2 linked regions of the Macaca mulatta genome follow. The protein of the gene in region 1 purifies or fractionates together with the protein of each later gene. This does not show direct contact. Links are inferred from orthologs where the notes say so. Each region holds a gene or a part of one and is shown in the gene's direction. Other genes may lie near its edges. The genes, in order: RAB13 and GDI1.

The links.
Region 2: the proteins of RAB13 (region 1) and GDI1 purify together in Homo sapiens (affinity purification with mass spectrometry; 4 studies listed by BioGRID and IntAct, counting the BioPlex papers as one, with this or other methods). This does not show direct contact. The link is inferred for Macaca mulatta from reciprocal best matches to the Homo sapiens genes RAB13 and GDI1.

Annotation. Positions count from the first base shown.
Region 1 is NC_133406.1:113,047,432-113,057,000, forward strand, and holds the start of RAB13 (ras-related protein Rab-13), read left to right. Parts: upstream 1-4,993; 5' UTR 4,994-5,093; coding exon 5,094-5,217; exon of another isoform or gene 5,218-5,313; intron 5,314-5,935; exon of another isoform or gene 5,936-6,344; intron 6,345-6,546; coding exon 6,547-6,607; intron 6,608-7,716; coding exon 7,717-7,777; intron 7,778-8,008; coding exon 8,009-8,086; intron 8,087-8,498; coding exon 8,499-8,588; intron 8,589-8,708; coding exon 8,709-8,774; intron 8,775-8,864; coding exon 8,865-8,918; coding exon of another isoform or gene 8,919-8,922; intron 8,923-9,093; coding exon 9,094-9,171; 3' UTR 9,172-9,569. Other genes in the region: RPS27 (small ribosomal subunit protein eS27), read right to left, coding at 118-123.
Region 2 is NC_133426.1:160,616,451-160,626,019, forward strand, and holds the start of GDI1 (rab GDP dissociation inhibitor alpha), read left to right. Parts: upstream 1-3,969; 5' UTR 3,970-4,252; coding exon 4,253-4,297; intron 4,298-5,565; coding exon 5,566-5,673; intron 5,674-5,805; coding exon 5,806-5,905; intron 5,906-6,046; coding exon 6,047-6,181; intron 6,182-6,989; coding exon 6,990-7,188; intron 7,189-7,455; coding exon 7,456-7,587; intron 7,588-8,468; coding exon 8,469-8,568; intron 8,569-8,992; coding exon 8,993-9,164; intron 9,165-9,480; coding exon 9,481-9,569. Other genes in the region: ATP6AP1 (V-type proton ATPase subunit S1), read left to right, coding at 8-48, 708-844, 1,271-1,530, 2,196-2,243, 2,330-2,561, 2,726-2,935. UniProt on the Homo sapiens protein: Regulates the GDP/GTP exchange reaction of most Rab proteins by inhibiting the dissociation of GDP from them, and the subsequent binding of GTP to them. Promotes the dissociation of GDP-bound Rab proteins from the membrane and inhibits their activation.

The DNA of each region.
Region 1 (9,569 bases):
AATGTCCTAAGAAGTGCAGAGGGTAAATGAGAACCCTCTACGATCCGAAATCAGCGTGAGGGGAGCGTGCAGACAGAACAGCGAGATCTCCGCCGAAACCTGGACCAAAGCACTCACAGGCATGTTCTCGTGTGGGTAGGTCGTCACCGCCGGAAAAGAGCGAAAGCGGAAATCCTGCCCCTTATATTGTGCACACTACAGGAAATGACGCAAGGATCTTGTGCCACCATGCTTGGAAGGTCCTACTTTGGTCTGATGCGGTGGAGAGACAAGGGAGCTGCCATTTTCGGAAGGTCTTTAACTGTTAGTTGTGACACATATGCGTCACCATGTTGAAAGGGTTACCTTGCTAATTTGAGGTCAGCGTTTGATCACTATCCAGGGATAAATGGACACTTTTAAAATTTTGTGTCATACTTTGACATTTGGAGCCTAATAGAAAAGGTTAAGGAAAACACCAGGGAGAAGGAGCCATATCCAGGACTTCCGTACTATTTTTTAAATACCTATATTCTTAACTCTTTTTCTATTGGTTTAATTTAACAATTTAGGCCGGGCGCGGTGGCTCATGCGTGTAATCCCAGCACTTTGGGAGGCCAAGGCGGGTGGATCATCTGAGGTCAGCAGTTCGACACCAGCCTGGCCAACATGGTGAAACCCCGTCTCTACTAAAAAAAATGCAAAATTTAGCCAGAGATGGTGGTGCATTCCTGTAATCCCAGATACTTGGGAAGCTGAGGCAGGAGAATCGCTTGAATCAAGGAGGAGGAGATTGCAGTGGACCGAGACGGAGTCATTGCACTCCAGCCTGGGCAGCAAGAGCAAACTCGGTCTCAAAAAAAAAAAAAAAAAAAAGTCAGGTTCCAGTGAAAGCAGGTATACACCAGAATAAGTACAGTTCAGAGAGGTGAGCACGAATAATACATTGCTAAGGACGAAAAGTCCAGATCCAGGCAAAATAAGATAAAAAGAACTGATGGATTTTTATCAGGACAATTCACAAAAATTGAAGAGTAATTTAAAGGACTGGTAAAGCTGAGTATGGTGGCCCACATCTGTAATCCCAGCACTTTGGGAGGCTGAGGTGGGAGTATTGCTTGAAGCTCAGAGTTCAAGACCAGCATGGGCAATATAGTGAGACTTTGTCTTTACAAAATATTGAAACATTAGCCAGGCGTGGTAGCTTGTGTCCGTAGTCCCAGCTATTTGGGAGGATGAGGCAGAAGAATGGTTTGGGCCCAGGAGCTCAAGGCTGCAGTGACCTAGGATAGTGCCACTGTATTCCAGTGTGGGTGACAGAATGACCCTGTCTCTAAAAAACATAAAAATAGACCAGACACAGTGGCTCACGCCTCTAATCCCAGCACTTTGGGAGGCCGAGGTGGGTGGATCCTTTGAGGTCAGAGTTCGAGACCAGCCTGACCAGCATTATGAAACCCCATCTCTACTAAAAATACAAAAAAATTAGCCAGGTGTGGTGTTGGGTACGTGTGATCCCAGCTACTCTGGAGGCTGAGGCAGGAGAATCACCTGAACCTGAGAGAAGTTGCAGTGAGCCAAGATCCTGCCATTGTACTCCAGCCTGGGTGACAGAGCAAGACTCGATCTAAAATTAAATAAATAAATAAATAAACAAACAAACAAACAGGTGAGACATGGTTTGGTCAGTGAAAAGAAATAGGGAAGACTCAAGGAGATAATGAGAGGTGAGAGAATAGACAAAAGGAGATTGAATAGTTTAGCTTGAGAAGGGACAAGCATGGACACGGAAGGTGATGGGGATAAGTGAAATGACAAAAGATGCCTTCTTAACAACCAGTACACATTTTCTTTTTTTGAGACGGAGTCTCGCTCTGTCACCCAGGCTGGAGTGCGGTGGCCGGATCTCAGCTCACTGCAAGCTCCGCCTCCCGGGTTCACGCCATTCTCCGGCCTCAGCCTCCCAAGTAGCTGGGACTACAGGCGCCGGCCACCTCGCCCGGCTAGTTTTTTGTATTTAATAGAGACAGGGTTTCACTGTGTTTGCCAGGATGGTCTCGATCTCCTGACCTCGTGATCCACCCGTCTCGGTCTCCCAAAGTGCTGGGATCACAGGCTTGAGCCACCGCGCCCGGCCCTCATTTTTTTTTTTTCTAGACGCAGTTTTGCTCTTGTTGCCCAGGCTGTAGTGCAATGGTGCCATCTCTGCTCGCCGCAACCTCCGCCTCCCGCGTTCAAGCAATTCTCCCGCCTCAGCCTCCCGAGTAGCTGGGATTACAGGCAGGCGGCACCACGCCCGGCTAATTTTGTATTTTTAGTAGAGACGGGGGTTTCACCATGTTGGCCAAGCTGATATTGAACTCCCGACCTCACGTGATCCGCCCACCTCAGCCTCCCAAAGTGCTGGAATTACAGGTGTGAGCCACCACACCCAGCCTTTAATTTTTTTATAGGCAGCCAGAATAGGCTCGAGAGAGACTCCCTTGAATAATTTTTTATTTGCCGGTTGCGGTGGCTCATGCCTGTAATCCCAGCACTTTGGGAGGCTGAGGCGGGCGGATCATGTGAGGTCGGGAGTTCGAGACCAGCCTGGCCAACATGGTGAAACCCCGTCTCTACTAAAAATACAAAAAAAAATTTTAGCTAGGTGTGGTGGCGGGTGGCTGTAATCCCAGCTACTTGGGAAGCTGAGGCTGGAGAATCGCTTGAACCCAAGAGGCGGAGGTTGCAGTGACCAGAGATTGAGCCATTGCACTTCAGCCTGGGTGACAAGAGCAAAACTTTGTCTCAAAAAATAAAATAAAAATAAAAATAAAGGCTGGGCACAGTGGCTCAAGCCTGTAATCCCAGGCCTTTGGGAGGCAGAGGTGGATGGATCACCTGAGGTCGAGAGTTCAAGACCAGCCTGACCAACATGGAGAAACCCCGTCTCTACTAAAAATACAAAATTAGCTGGGGGTGGTGGCGGATGCCTGTAATTTCAGCTACTCGCGAGGCTTAGGCAGGAGAATCGCTTGAATCTGGGAGCCGAAAGTTGCGGTTAGCCAAGATCACACCATTGCACTCCAGCCTGGGCAACGAGAGCAAAACTCCACCTCAAAATAAATTAAAAAAAAAAAAAAAAATAGGCCGGGCGCGGTGGCTCACGCCTGTAATTCCAGTACTTTGGAAGGCCAAGGCAGACGGATCACGAGGTCAGGAGATCGAGACCATCCTGGTTAACATGGTGAAACCCTGTCTCTACCTAAAATACAAAAATTTAGCCAGGCGGTGGCAGGCGCCTGTAGTCCTAGCTACTCAGGAGACTGAGGCAGGCGAATGCCGTGAACCCGGGAGGTGGAGCTTGCAGTGAACCAAGATTGCGCCACTGCACTCCAGCCTGGGCAACAGAGCGAGACTCCGTCTCAAAAAAAAAATAGGGCTGGGCGCGGTGGCTTATGCCTGTAATCCCAGCACTTTGGGAGGCCGAGGCGGGCGGATCACAAGGTCAAGAGATCGAGACCATCTGGCCAACATGGTGAAACCCCGTCTCTACTAAAAATACAAAAATTAGCTGGACTTCGTGGCAGGCACCTGTAATCCCAGCTATTCCAGAGGCTGAGGCACGAGAATCGCTTGAACCAGGGAGGCAGAGGTTGCAGTGAGCCGAGATCGTCCCACTGCACTCCAGCCTGGCGACAGAGCAAGGCTGTGTCTCAAAAAATTAATTAATTAAAAATAAACAAATTTAAAAATTTTTTTGAGACAGGATCTTACTCTGTCACCGAGTCTGGAGTGCAGTAGCATAATCATGGCTCACTACAGCCTTGGACTCCTGGGCTCAAGTGATCTGCCCACTTCTGCCCCCTAGGTAGCTGGGGCTGGGACTACAGGCGCACACCACCATGTATGGCTTATTTATTTATTTATTTATTTATTTATTTATTGTCGAAGCAGAGTCTCAGTATGTTGCCCAGGCTAGTCTTGAACTCCTGGACCCAAGGGATCCTCTCACGTTGGCCTCCCAAAGTGCTGGGATTACAAGTGTGAGCCACCACACCGGGTCTTAAACAATTTCTTTCTTTCGTTTTTCGTATTTTTTTCCACCCCCAGCACACATATAGCAAGAATAATTTTTTTCTAAAGGCAGAGATATACTTGTTTCTTTGTAGCCATGCTGTCCATATTTCAGCTTCCTGGTTACCAAGGCTACACGTTCATGGCCTATTGAGTGAGATTTCAGGAGTACTGCACCTTAAGTGGGCCATATTAAAAGATCCACGTGAAGAATGACATTTTTAGTTCAAATCACTGTTTTCTTAAGCTATTTGGTCAGAGAAATCACACATGCGGCCCCCATTAGAGAGGTCGTTCCAACTGAAGCACCAGGACGTGTCTAGGTAGGCTGTGAGTCTTGGGGCGGTGGGGCCGATTCTGTAAAACTAATTTACGTTTTCACCCTGTTCCACCAGAGGGCAGACTGACTCAACAAATAACCTACTTCTGCGCATCCCGCTTTTTTCAAAGGGAATTGGGATCCATAGAACTAAGGGCTTGGACAACTAACGCTAAAATTCTAGGACTGACTTTTACGCAGCCCCAGAAACCGATGATAACTCATCTTCTAGCTTCGTTGAATAGCACCTCCAAAAATCAGCCCCATTTTTTTTTTTTCAATTTCTAGTGCCCTCCCTACCTTCACCGTTATTCCCAAAACTCTTTCTCTCTTCCCCTAATCCCTCTAAAATTTCTCTTCCCCTGGTCGTCGTGGTTAAACCTCTACTTCCCTTCACCCCAGACTCTCGCCTCAGAATAGAAGAGTAAGGTCGTAAGAGGGGAGCTACAGTTACCAAAAGGCTGTGGAAAATAGCGAGACAGGTAGGCCGGCCTAAGCTGGGAAGGGAAAACCGAGAGAGCAGAGGCCGGGCTGGCCGCCTTGGCCTGTCCAAAAGGGTGGGCGGGCAGGGGGTGGAGCCCGGAGGGGTGCCGCCCCTCCTTTTCCCGGAGCCTGGGCGGAGAGGGAGGAAAACTTCTTCCTGGCCTGGGCTCCGTGCTGCTCTGTTTGCCAACCGTCCAGTCCCGCCTACCAGTGCCGGGAGCTCCCCACCCCTCCCCCGGCTCCCCCGGTGTCCGCCATGGCCAAAGCCTACGACCACCTCTTCAAGTTGCTGCTGATCGGGGACTCGGGGGTGGGCAAGACTTGTCTGATCATTCGCTTTGCAGAGGACAACTTCAACAACACTTACATCTCCACCATTGGTGAGCCCGCTGGCCATGTCCCAGACCCCTACTGTCTTGTAACCTCCTTCTCAGGCTCCCGGATTACTAGTGACCCCAATTTTCAGTCCCCTTAGAGTAAGGCTCCTGAATTCTAGTCCCTCAACCCCTGGCTCTGACCCCTCCCCCATGCATGTCTCTGTATGGTAACCAAACCTCTCACCTCTCTGAGGCTTTCAGGTAACTCTTCAACTGCTGCCAGCTCCTCATTTTCTTGGTGCCATCACCTTAGTTTCCCAAAACCCACAAGAACTCTTCTCTCTTTGTCTCTGTGCCCCTCTTCCCCTACCCCCACCACTTAGAACTCTCTCGATCCATTCTCCACGTTTCCTGTATCCCTGTCTGCCACATCTTTTTCTCCCAATCCGATCTGTTAGCCTCTTTCCCTCTAGCCGACCTTCAAACTCTCCCACTGCGTCCCCAGCTCACCATCTACTTCCCAGGTTCCCTGCCCCAGTCTCCCTGCACCTCAGCTGAACAGGGGTTTGGGAAGGGTGGAACAAGGTGGCTGGGTGTGCTGGAGGGCGGCCCAAGGACTGTGATCATGAATATGCAGCCAGCTTGGTGAGGAACGTGGAAATGAGGGGACTTTTGGGGTCTCTGAGTCAGCCTGGTGACTCATCCTCCTCCCAGGGGCCCCCAGCAGGCTTGGGGGAGGTGCCCAAGTTTCTACTAAGAAGAACATTGTCTCCCCTCCTCCCTTCTTTCTTCATTTCCTCTGGCTTGGGAAATAGACAGGAAGAGTCTTATGACAATTCTGGTTACAAAGGAAGAGGAAAAATGCCCCCCTTTCCTAATTGTCTCAAAAGTAATCCTGTTTAGCCTCAGACTTTCCTAGTGCCAAGTTTGGCCTACTAGTTAATTCACATAGACTGGCTTCAGCTACTTTTTTCCTTACTCTCTACTAGGAGGGTGGGTGGAATACCAAGAGTAGAGGGCTCTAAGAAAACAGAGAAGAGGAATGTGAAAGTAATATCTGGTGGGGAGACAGAGACTGAATTCAGAGAGTTGTCAGCTGGTATAGCTGAATGGACCCAAGAGGTGGCCTAAGGATCTTAAGCCTCCATGCAGAATTTTCATCACCTTTTCCCTCCCAAAATCCATAAAACGTAAGTAAAAATAGTATTCTTGCTATACAAATACAGCTTTGGGAAAATTCTCCTAGCTTGGCATTTCCAACAAGATTGCTCCCCAAGTGCCTCTCCTGCAGAATTTCTGGTGCTGACACTGCTCCCTTCCTGTCCCTCCCATCACACAGTTTTACATGTGTGCATGCATGTCTCAACTTCAGTGCATACTTTCCACCCCTAGGAATTGATTTCAAGATTCGCACTGTGGATATAGAGGGGAAGAAGATCAAACTACAAGTCTGGTAAGTGAATCCTCTGGGAAGCCTCACCAGACTTCATTTACCTCCTACACGCTTTTTCTTCTACTTTGTTTCATTTCTCTTCCTTTCCTCATTGCTCTTTCTAGCACTTCTAATCTATTTCTCTGGATGCACTCAGCTGTCCTTCGTCTCTCTTCCTGCTCTCCCAACTAGTTCCAGCTTTTTTGTAACTCTTGCCTCCTCTGGCTACAGAGCATCCTCTTAATTTGACAACAAACAACTGTTCAGTCATAACTTGGAAACAGGCTGTGAACCGTTAAATGGCACAGGCAGAATTAAGACTTGACTCTAAGTCTAGTGTTTTCTCCAAAATATGGTGAGCCCAGAGAGCCAAATGTAGACCCTGAAGGGGTTTAAGTGGTATGAAGCTTAGTGGAGGCATAATGCTATGACATATAAGAGCAGAGTGGTGCACAAATCCGGTTCTTTTACTTATCTGCTGCCTGACCTTCATGAATTATTCAGCCTATCCAAATCTGTTTCCTCTTTTTTTTTTGAGACAGAGTCTTGCTCTTATCGCCCAGGCTGGAGTGCAATGGCACAATCTCAGCTCACCGCAACCTCCGCCTCCTGGGTTCAAGTGATTCTCCCACCTCAGCCTCCCAAGTAGCTGGGATTACAGGTGCCCGCCACCATGCCCGGCTAATTTTTGTATTTTTAGTAGAGACGAGGTTTCGCCATGTTGGCCAGGCTGGTCTCGAACTCCTGACCTCAGATGATCGACCCGCCTCGGCTTCCCAAGGCGGAAGATTACAGGCGCGAGCCACGGCCCCCGGCATGTTTCCTTATTTGTAAAATAGGGACAATAATACATGTCTTACAAGGAGAGATTAAGGATTAGATAAAATGATACATACGCAGTGCTGGACACATAGCAAGCATTCAATGAATAAGCAAAGACAGCTTGTTTCTTGGGCCACTACCATCTCTGGAAATCAGGTCAACCGTCTTTAATCCCACTCCCCTTTACTGTTTCCTTATTCTGTTGCCCCACCATGTTGCAAAAGCTAAATTCTTGCGAGAGAGGAAGAATTCTTCCATTAGAGAATTCTTTCCTCTCTTCCATTCCATGAAACCTTCTCCTTCTTTAGGGACACGGCTGGCCAAGAGCGATTCAAGACAATAACTACTGCCTACTACCGTGGAGCCATGGTATGAAGTGTGGGTCTGGACAAAGGATGAAGGATGAGGCCACAGAATATATTATGAATACAAAGGGTCAGGGGTTGAGGCAGGTAAAAATGGGAGGGGTGTAGTGTGGGTTGCAGAGGGCCCAACGTGGCCTAGTGTTTAGACCCATGGATGGAACTTGCCGGGTCACTTACAGGGCAGTGGGAAGCCTCAAAGGGAATATGGTCCAAGTTGAATTTTGTCATCTCCCAGGGCATTATCCTAGTATACGACATCACGGATGAGAAATCTTTCGAGAATATTCAGAACTGGATGAAAAGCATCAAGGAGGTGAGGACCCTCCAGAAGAGATGGGGGAACTGGATAGAACCTGGAGAATGAAGGGAGCCATAAGGATAGGCATGACCTAACTTTTTTTTTTTTTTGAGACGAAGTTTCGCTCTTGTTGCCTGGGCTGGAGTGCAATGGCACCATCTTGGCTCACTGCAACCTGACTACCGGGTTCAAATGATTCTCCTGCCTCAGCCTCCTAAGTAGCTAGGATTACAGGCATGCACCACCATGCTCAGCTACTTTTGTATTTTTAGTAGAGATGGGGTTTTACCATGTTGATCAGGTTGGTCTTGAACTCCTGCATCAGGTGATCCACCCGCCTTGGCCTCCCAAAGTGCTGGGATTACAGGTGTGAGCCACCACACCCAGCTGGCGGGACCTAACTTTTACTTGTCTTTTGCCCCCCCAGAATGCCTCGGCTGGGGTGGAACGCCTCTTGCTAGGGAACAAATGTGACATGGAGGCCAAGAGGAAGGTGCAGAAGGAGCAGGCCGATAAGGTGAGGGCCAGGCTGAGCAATTTCTAGAACTGGGCTGGGAGGGCCAAGATAGGTTGCATTGCAGAGGACTTGGCTGCTGTCCTTAATTCAATTCTCTCCTTCTCACTTCACCCCTTATAGTTGGCTCGAGAGCACGGGATCCGATTTTTCGAAACTAGTGCTAAATCCAGTATGAATGTGGATGAGGTGAGATCCACACCCCCATCCCTGACCAAGAGAGGAAGTATTAAAAGGTAGATTCTCCTCCCTCCAAACTGATTCTATTCCCCACTTTAGGCTTTTAGCTCCCTGGCCCGGGACATCTTGCTCAAGTCAGGAGGCCGGAGATCAGTAAGTTGGTTTTGCTGGACTAGGTACAACTCTGGTGTGTGTGTGTTGGTGTTGATAAGAATTGAGGGGAGCAATGCTAAGATTTCTCATGAGGGTGGATTCACTTCCAACAGTTTATACCCTCACACCCTAACCAGCCATTCACACCATGACCCCTGTGCCCTTCTCCCTCTAGGGAAACGGCAACAAGCCTCCCAGTACTGACCTGAAAACTTGCGACAAGAAGAACACCAACAAGTGCTCCCTGGGCTGAGGACCCTTTCTCGCCTCCCCACCCTGGAAGCTGAACCTGAGGGAGACGGGGCAAAGGGACTGAGCAGGGGAGAAATAGCAGAGGGGCTTGGAGGGACACATAGGTAGATGGTAAAGAGAATGAGGAATAAAAGGAGAAGAGAAAAGGGAAAAGCAGAAAGGAAAAGAAGGAAGAGAGAGGAGGGAGAAGGGAGAGGAACCGATTGAGGAAGTGAAAGAAGGTAAGGAGGTAAGAAGAGGGAGGAGGAAAGGAAGGGGAGATGGCCTCAGGCTTCAGACCTTACCTGGGTTTTCAGGGCAAACATAAATGTAAATACACTGATTTATTCTGTTACTAGATCAGGTTTTAGGGTCCTGCAAAGGGCTAGCTCGGCACTACACTAGCAGATTTGCTCCTGT
Region 2 (9,569 bases), on another chromosome or scaffold:
TCCATAGCTCTGGTCTGATGGCACCCAGGGAAGTCCTCACAGGCAATGGTGAGTAGAATCAGGGAGGATGCACATCCTCACCTAGCCCTTGGGCGGGGACCACAGACAGTTGGCCTGCAGCTCCTCAGCCTCCTCACTCCCAGGGTGGCCCTCCTGCTTCTCGGGGCAGCTGACAGTGGAGCAGGGAAATGCTGGCTCCCAGGACCAGCCAGGGACCACCTAGCAGAGGACCCTGTCCAGCCAGACCCCACTTGGCAGAGGGGGGGCCCTCTGTGCTGGAGGCTATGGAGCCAGTTTCTGTGCATGCAGCGTGAATCCTAGAGTTATGGGTTTAATAAGACTGCAGACATTTGGAAAAACAATTCTGGGGACTTACCTATTTGCAATAAAGAACAGTCATTCCCCATGGAAAGGCAGTCACAAACCTTTCATGGGTGGATGTGGAGTTTTCTGTATTGATATGTATTTTCTCGTGTCACATAGGTAGGGCTTGGCATTAGGAAGTTGATGACCAAAGCCACAGTTGTCCACGGGGGAGGCTAGGAATGGGGGTGGGATGAGAAATAGCTGCTCCTAAGGATCCTCAGTGGAAAGTAATAACACCACTTTCAGATGGTCTAGAAGGTTTCTAAAGCAGACGGTGGGGAGTGTTTCTTTACACAGGGTGCCTGGTGACTTGACTCTCTGCTCTCCTTGTTGACCCTCAGATGAGGTCATTGGGCAGGTCCTGAGCACACTCAAGTCTGAAGATGTCCCGTACACAGCGGCCCTCACAGCGGTCCGCCCTTCCAGGGTATGTGCCCTTCCAGCAGGGGCTCTGGGGCATGCAGGGAGAGGCAGTGTGGTGAGTCTGTCTGGAGGTGGGGGGTGTATGCCACAGGCAGGCTGTCCGGGAGGCCCAGCATAGCGGAAGCATCAGGCACAGAACCCCTGTGGTGTGACTATTTGGAGTGGCTTGTCCCTGGGCTGACTCTGGGGGAGGACTAGGATGAGCACTCAAGTGCTGCCTCCCCATTCCAGGGGCAGCTTTCCATCTCGTCCTCTGAGGCTTGTGGGTGGCAGACTTGGACACTAAGTCTAAATGACCCTAAGTTTGAGGGACTAGGAACGTCATCAGGGTTTAGGGGCCATCAGGGAAAGCTTTCTGGAGGAAAGGCCTCCTCTGGCTGGTGGGACTTTGAGATAGTGGACAGGGTGTCCTGTCGGGAGAGGAGGGAGGGCACGACAGCTGGGTTGGAGTATGACAGTCTCCCAGGGCTGCTGAAAGAAGGCTGGTTGGGTGTTTCTGCAGGTGGCCCGTGATGTAGCGGTGGTGGCTGAAGGGCTAGGTCGCCAGCTGTTACAAAAACAGCCAATATCACCTGTGATCCATCCTCCTGTGAGTTACAATGACACTGCTCCCCGGATCCTGTTCTGGGCCCAAAACTTCTCTGTGGCGTACAAGGACCAGTGGGAGGACCTGACTCCCCTCACCTTTGGGGTGCAGGAGCTCAACCTGACTGGCTCCTTCTGGAATGACTCCTTTGCCAGGCAAGGGCACTAGGCTGGGGAGGACTGTGCCACCACAGGTGACCTTCCCACCACTGTGAGTCGCAGGTGGGGCAGGGAGCCAGGGTCAGGTCTGTGTGTTGGGGTGGGGATGGCCATGGTCTGGTTGGGGTCTGGGCAGTGTGAGGATGTAGGAGGTGTCATGGCGGGGGGTGCTGTTGGAGGGGAGTTGCTCAGACTTCTGCCTCCCCATGCTTGTGAGTCTTTGGTTGGGACCTTGGTTGTTAACACCTCCCCCTTGAGCAAAACTTCTGGGACTTTGTGTGGGCAAATGCCAGGCCAGCTACCTGAGGCATTTATGGGGCAACCATGCCCTTCTGTTTGCTCTCACCCCCAAAGCCCAGCCCAGGCACCTTAGTGACCCTAAGAGGGAGTAAAAGGAGAGGTAGTGAGCTCAGGGGAACCAGAGGAAGGACCCCCATGCTGGTGGCAAGGGGAACCTGGGTCCTGGCTTCCAGCTCTGTTCTGGGCTTGCAATGTGACTGGATCCTCAGTTTTCCTATCTGTCAAGTGGGGTCACTGCTTCTTCAGGTGGCTGCAAGGACCCAAGGCAGCTTAGGTAAGAGCAGAGCTGAGGAACTTGTTCCTCTAAGATGCCAAAGGCCCTCCCAGAGCCTCATGGTGCACCTCTTTCTCTGCCTCCACAGGCTCTCACTGACCTATGAACGACTCTTTGGTACCACAGTGACATTCAAGTGAGTCCTGGGGTGGTTGAGGTGTGGGGAGGCTGGTGTGGCCCCAGCCTCCCCAGCTCACCTGACATCCCTGCCACCTTCCCCAGGTTCATTCTGGCCAACCGCCTCTACCCAGTGTCCGCCCGGCACTGGTTTACCATGGAGCGCCTCGAAGTCCACAGCAATGGCTCCGTTGCCTACTTCAATGCTTCCCAGGTCACAGGGCCCAGCATCTACTCCTTCCACTGCGAGTATGTCAGCAGCCTGAGCAAGAAGGGCAGTCTCCTCGTGGCCCGCACGCAGCCCTCCCCCTGGCAGATGATGCTTCAGGACTTCCAGGTATGGCGCAGGGGTGGCCCAGCTTCAGGTGGGGGAGCCCAGGCTGGTGTTTGAGAAACGAAGAGAGGCTTGGGCTTGGGAGTCCTGTCCCTGCGCTGCCCTTGTCCCAGTCCTTGCTGGGCCTCCCAACGGTCCTTTCTGACCCGTGTCTGTGTGTCTGCCAGATCCAGGCTTTCAACGTGATGGGGGAGCAGTTCTCCTATGCCAGTGACTGTGCCAGCTTCTTCTCCCCCGGCATCTGGATGGGGCTGCTGACCTCCCTGTTCATGCTCTTCATCTTCACCTACGGCCTGCACATGATCCTCAGTCTCAAGACCATGGATCGCTTTGATGATCACAAGGGCCCCACCATTTCTTTGACCCAGATTGTCTGACCCTGTGCCAGTGGGGGGTTGAGGGTGGGAGAGTGTCCGTGTTGTTGCTTTCCCACCCTGCAGCACACTGGACTGGAGCTTCCCTCTTCCTACCGCAGCATGAACCCCAAGCTCCCCTCAGCCCATCTTGCTCCCTCTTCAGCCTGCTGAGGAGCTTTCCTGGGCTGCCCCCATCTCTCCCAACAAGGTGTACATATTCTGCGTAGATGCTAGACCAACCAGCTTCCCAGGCTTAGTCGCTGTGAGGCGTAAGGGACATGAATTCTAGGGTCCCCTTTCTCCTTATTTATTCTTGTGTCTACATCATCCCTGGCTGTGGATAGTGTTTTTGTGTAGCAAATGCTCCCTCCTTAAGGTTATAGGGCTCCCTGAGTTTGGGGTGTGGAAGTTCTACTTAACTGTCCTGCTTGGCTGTCGTTATCGTTTTCTGGTGATGTTGTGCTAACAATAAGCAGTACACTGGGGTTTATTTCTGTGGCCTGAGAAGGAAGGTGGGCTGGGTGCGATCGTCGGCTGTCTGGCATGTTCCCACCGGAAGTGCCTGGCAGGAGCAGGGGGTGCTCGGTTGTTTCCTTCCTAATAAAGTAAACGAGGATCGCCATGCGTTGGGCCTCTTGTCGCTCATTTCTGCGCTGAGCTTTTGGCGCGTGCTCGCCAGAGGTATGCGGGAGGATGGAGCCTGGAGAGGGGGAGGCTAGGAGGCATCCCCGGAGACCGGGAGGGGCTTTAGTAAGCTGGGCCCTAACCGCTTAGGTCAGGGAGGGGTGGTCGGGCCGAGTCCCGGTGCGCTTCGGCGTCTCAGGAGGCCGTAGTGACAATGGCAGCCTTCGCGTCGTGAGGGAGCCGCCCCCGGCTGCCGCAGCGGCGCGCGTCCGGTCGCGGGGCCGCGCCGAGACTCCCGGGGGGCGGGGCGGGCGCGCGCGGGGCGGGGCGGGGCGGGTGGGGCGGGGCGCGCGCGGCTCCCGCGCATGGATCCTTTCCGGGCCGCAGCACCGGCCGCCGGCCCGCCCCGCCCGCCCCGCCCGCCCCGCCCCGAGCCTCTCTGGACTCTCGGCGAGCAACGTCGCCCGCGGAGCCGCGCTGGTGCTGTGGCCCGGGCCCTGGCAGCCCTCCCGGGAGGCGAGCCGGGAAGGCGGTGTCCCCTGCCGGGTGCGGCGGGGCGCGGGAAGAGGCGGGACTCTTTGACGCGGCGGAGGGGTCGGGCGGCGGCCGACGCTCCGCCATCTTTGGTCCAGTGCGGTGGCGGCGGCGGCGGTGGCTACTGCTGTGGTGAAGGAGGAGGAGGAGCCGAGCGGGCGCTGCCACTGAGGCCTGACCATGGACGAGGAATACGATGTAATCGTGCTGGGGACCGGCCTCACCGTAAGTGCGGCCCCGGGCGCCCTTGGCCCTGCGTCGTGCCCTCGCCATTCCCCGCGATGATGCGGCCGCCGGCCCATCCTCCGGTCACTGCCATCTTCTGCGCTCGGCTCCCCGAAAAGCCGGCGCCGTGCCCACCCCGCTGCTCCCCCCGCGATGTCGCCTCTGTTCGTTGCCATGACCCCATCTCCCCGAAGGGGCCCCCTTCCTGGCCGCCCCCTGGCCTACCCGGGTCCGACCCCCGGCGCTCTCCCATCTTCCCTACCCCTGCCCTCTGGACCGGAAAACGCACCCCCACTCGGCCCGTTGCCCCCGACCCCGCCCACCCATCGCCCCCACCCCGCCCACCCATCGCCCCCACCCCGCCCACCCATCGCCCCCACCCATCACGGCATCCACCCGTCGCCCGCACCCATCGCCCGCCTAGCGTTGCCTCCCAGCGTCCCTTCCCATCTTGCGCTAATCCCTGTGAGGATGAAGTACAAGGACCTGGGGTCAGGGGGCCTCGCCAGGGTGGGCTCTCAGCCCACCCCCTCGTCGTCTTCTGGGGCCAGGGGATCCAGGGAATGTTCCAGAAGGAGCAGCAGTGGGGGCAGTAAGCACATTCCCGCAACCCCACCTCGGTTGCCCATGGAGACCTCAGGCTGAGTAGCATCTGCAGCCTTTGTCCTTGGGCTAGTGACAGTGACTGGTGAGGGTGTTTATCTTCCCCCTTTCCCCGAAAATCCCGTTGGCCCACTCCCCTCAGAGACTCTTCTCCCTCGGTCCAGACCCAGATGCCCCTCCTCAGCGGCAGGGGCTCCTGCTCTTTGAAGAAAGAGCAGTCCAGGGTGGGGCCTACAATTTCAAGGACTGTGCTAAGCCTTTCTTTGCTTCCCTTTGGAGTGTCCTTCGCAGTCCAGCTGGGTCCCCTCTGTGCCACATTGTGTTTTATCCGCCTTTTTGTGCGGCTCTGCGTAGGTAGATGCCTCTCGGCGTGTTGGTACTGGAAGGCCATCCTGTGTCTGCTGGATGCCCTGCCTACCTCAAAGCCTCCGTTATTTCACTGTCTGCCTTGTGAGGGGGACGGGTCTCCTTTACCCCGCAAGGTTGCAATGGAGAGTGTGGTCGGATGAAACCATCACCCCAATTTTAGGCGAGGCAACTAGCCGGTGGGGGTGGTGGATGGAAGGAGCTGTCCACTGAGGCAGGTTTGGGTGGGGAACAAATCAGGGCTGCTGGTAGGAGCAGAGGAAGGTGGGAGTGCAGCGGATTGTGTGGCCCTCCCCCAGGAATGCATCTTGTCGGGCATCATGTCTGTGAACGGGAAGAAGGTGCTGCACATGGACCGGAACCCCTACTACGGGGGCGAGAGCTCCTCCATCACACCCCTGGAGGAGGTGAGGCTGCCTGGGCCCAGGCCCATCCCTGTTAACCTCCCACACAGCGGCACAGGGTGGAAGTAGCTCTCCAGGTGCCTGGAGCAGGAGGAGGTGGTCCCTGAGGTGTCTCTCTCTCCCTTCTGCTTACAGCTGTATAAGCGTTTTCAGTTGCTGGAGGGGCCCCCTGAGTCCATGGGCCGAGGCCGAGACTGGAACGTTGACCTGATTCCCAAATTCCTCATGGCTAACGGTGAGGGACAGGAAGGAGGTATTGCAGGTCGGGGGTGATAGGGAAGACCTAAGGACAGTCAGGCTCCAAAGGAGGCGCAGCCAGACCAGCTAGAACCTCTGGAGAGAGCCGTGCTGATGTTGCCCTTGTGCACCCCCACAGGGCAGCTGGTAAAGATGCTACTGTATACAGAAGTGACTCGCTACCTGGACTTCAAGGTGGTGGAGGGCAGCTTTGTCTACAAGGGGGGCAAGATCTACAAAGTGCCGTCCACTGAGACTGAGGCCTTGGCTTCCAGTGAGTGTGGGCCCCCTGAGCCAGAGAAATCATGGGGTGGCAGGGAAGCCAACTGTCTTTGGGATGGGTGGCTGTCCAGAGTAAGGTACCCCTTTGTCCAAAGTCACATTCCCCCATGAAGGGGACCAGAGGCCCTTCACTCTGTATTCCCTCTGCCCCATGTCATGCCGCATGGCTGGCTGCCAAGAGGGAGGTCCCCACGCAGCAGGGATGTGACGTGGAGGGGAACGGGACTCCTTTTGAAAGACTTGAGCGTGGCCAGGCGCGGTGGCTCATGCCTGTAATCCCAGCACTTTGAGAGGCCTAGGCGGGTGGATCACGAGGTTAGGAGTTCAAGACCAGCCTGGCCAACATGGTGAAACCCCGTCTCGTCTCAAAATACAAAAAATTAGCTGAGTGTGGTGGCACACACCTGTAATCCCAGCTACTCGGGAGGCTGAGGCAAGAGAATGGTTTGAACCCGGGAGGTGGAGGTTGTGGTGAGCCGAGATCATACCACTGCACTCCAGCCTGGGCGATAGAGTAAGACTCCATCTCAAAAAACAACAACAACAAAGAAAACTTGAGCCTTTGGCAGGGGCTCCACTGGATCCTCAAGACATCCCCAAGTGTCCAAGCCAGGAAAGCCCTTAGAGTCCATCCAGGCCAATCCCCTCTTCATCCTGGTGGGGAAACTGAGGCTAAAAAGGGTGGAGAGGTTAACCTAAGGTCACAGGACAGCTGGGCTGGGAGTGGGGGTGCCTGCCCTGCTGAGATGGAGAGTTTTGTGCTGCGTTGGTGCAGAACCTCCTCCCGCCACCTTCCTTAGATCTGATGGGTATGTTTGAGAAACGGCGCTTCCGCAAGTTCCTGGTGTTTGTGGCAAACTTCGATGAGAATGACCCCAAGACCTTTGAGGGTGTTGACCCCCAGACTACCAGCATGCGTGATGTCTACCGGAAGTTTGATCTGGGCCAGGATGTCATCGATTTCACTGGCCACGCCCTGGCACTCTACCGCACTGATGAGTGAGGGGAAGCTGGTGTGGCGGCAGCCCCCTCGCCCGGCCCACCTCCTGCCCTCCCCACACCTGCCTGTTGTCCCCCTGCCCTGCATGTTCCTTGTACTCAGCCATAGGCTCACCTATCACCCTTTCCATTTCCCCCTTGCATTTGATCCTCATCTTCCCCAGGCCATTCAGGGTGGTGGGAAGACTGGCCTGGTACCTGGTACCTGGGTGGGGGTAAGTCAGGGGTGCTGCTACTGGAGCGTCTTCCCTAACCCCTGTCCCCCAGCTACCTGGACCAGCCCTGTCTTGAGACCATCAACCGCATCAAGTTGTACAGTGAGTCCCTGGCCCGGTATGGCAAGAGCCCATATTTATACCCGCTCTACGGCCTGGGCGAGCTGCCCCAGGGTTTTGCAAGGTGAGGACGTGGGTTTTTTCAGTTGGCATGGCTGAGTAGGACTAGGGCCAGGAGTGGAGATGGCCCCCTTGAGCATTTCCCTGGTAGCATTTCCTCCTTTCCAATTCGTGATTTTCATTTACTTCACTCCATCCTTGGGTGATGAGGGCACAACCCCAGTGCACTGAAGTACAGAAGTCTCCACACTTGCCGGGCGCGGTGGCTCACGCCTGTAATCCCAGCACTTTGGGAGGCCGAGGCGGGCGGATCACAAGGTCAGGAGATCGAGACCACGGTGAAACCCCGTCTCTACTAAAAATACAAAAAATTAGCCGGGCGCGGTTGTGGGTGCCTGTAGTCCCAGCTACTCGGGAGGCTGAGGCAGGAGAATGGCGTGAACCCGGGAGGCGGAGCTTGCAGTGAGCCGAGATCGCGCCACTGCACTCCAGCCTGGGCGACAGAGCGAGACTCCGTCTCAAAAAAAAAAAAAAAAAAAGAAGTCTCCACACTTGAAGAACCAAGTTTCCACAAATGTGACTTGCTCAGTTCCCGGCAGCACCAGGACTGGGCCCAGGGCCCCAGAACCTTGAGTCAGGGCTTCGCTGGGAGGTGACCTATCTTGAGAGAGTCCATCCTGGTCCTTCAGGCTGTCTTGGTGCAGAGCACTGCTCCCTCATGCCCCCTTCTGCTGGTCCTTGGCAGTGTATTCTGGGCAGAAGAAGCTCCTGAGAGGAAAGAGCCCGCTGAGATGGGGCCAGAGTTCACGGCAGTGACACAGCTGGGATGAATCCCGGCGTCTCCTGCCTGCTGCCTTTTTTGCACCTTGGTGGAGGAAGGGTGACAGTGGAATTGGTCCCCGTTTCTCCTGGGAGGGGCCTTCACCAGGGCTGTTCTCACCACAGATTGAGTGCCATCTATGGGGGGACGTATATGCTGAACAAACCTGTGGATGACATCATCATGGAGAATGGCAAGGTGGTGGGCGTGAAATCTGAGGGAGAGGTGAGCCTTTCTGGTGCAGTGCAGTCACCATGGTTGAGGCAGGGCTTGGTCATCTTCTTTTCACTGTGCTGCCGGGTCTCCTGCTGCACAGCCCCGAGGGTCTTGGAGCTGGGAACTGGGCGTTCAGAAGTCTTCAGAGCCATGAATGTGGGTGAGGGGCTATTTCAGAGGCCACACGCCATGTCTGTAGTGCAGAAAGTGTACTTGATCACGGGGCATCTGGGAGGCGGGGGCGGGCACCCAGCCTATGGGTCAGGGCCCACCTCTGTGAGCTGCAGGGCAGGGCCATGCATTCAGGAGGGGCAGTAGTGATGGCTCCGAGGAGTGCCTTGTCTGCCAGAGCTGCCTGCCTTTGCTGTGAACACAGCCCCAAGACTACCTAAGGGAGTGATCTGACGGGCGAGGATTTCTGGTGCCTTCTCAGGTGGCCCGCTGCAAGCAGCTGATCTGTGACCCCAGCTACATCCCGGACCGTGTGCGGAAGGCTGGCCAGGTTATCCGCATTATCTGTATCCTTAGCCACCCCATCAAGAACACCAACGATGCCAACTCCTGCCAAATAATCATCCCCCAGAACCAGGTCAACAGGAAGTCAGGTAGGCCGGGTGCTGGTACAACTTCCTCTAGGGTGTTCTCTTTGGGGTTACCCTTTCTCTCCCCATCAGTGTCGGAGCTCCCTGCCTTACCTCTCTGGAAAAAATTTGACCCACGTTGTAGTCACCACAACTTGGACCCCTAGGGTTTGGGTGGCCTGGACTCTTCCCCTCTGGGAGGGTGGCGGCTTGGATGCTACCTGCTTTGCGGGGCTGGGGAGGGGGCAGGTGGGCCAGACTTGTGTCCAGCCACTGGAACCCATCTCTGCGTATGGCCAGCGCCTCTGGCCCGAGTTGACGGAGCTCTTCCTGTGGCCAGACATCTACGTGTGCATGATCTCCTATGCACACAACGTGGCGGCCCAGGGCAAATACATCGCCATCGCCAGCACTACTGTGGAGACCACG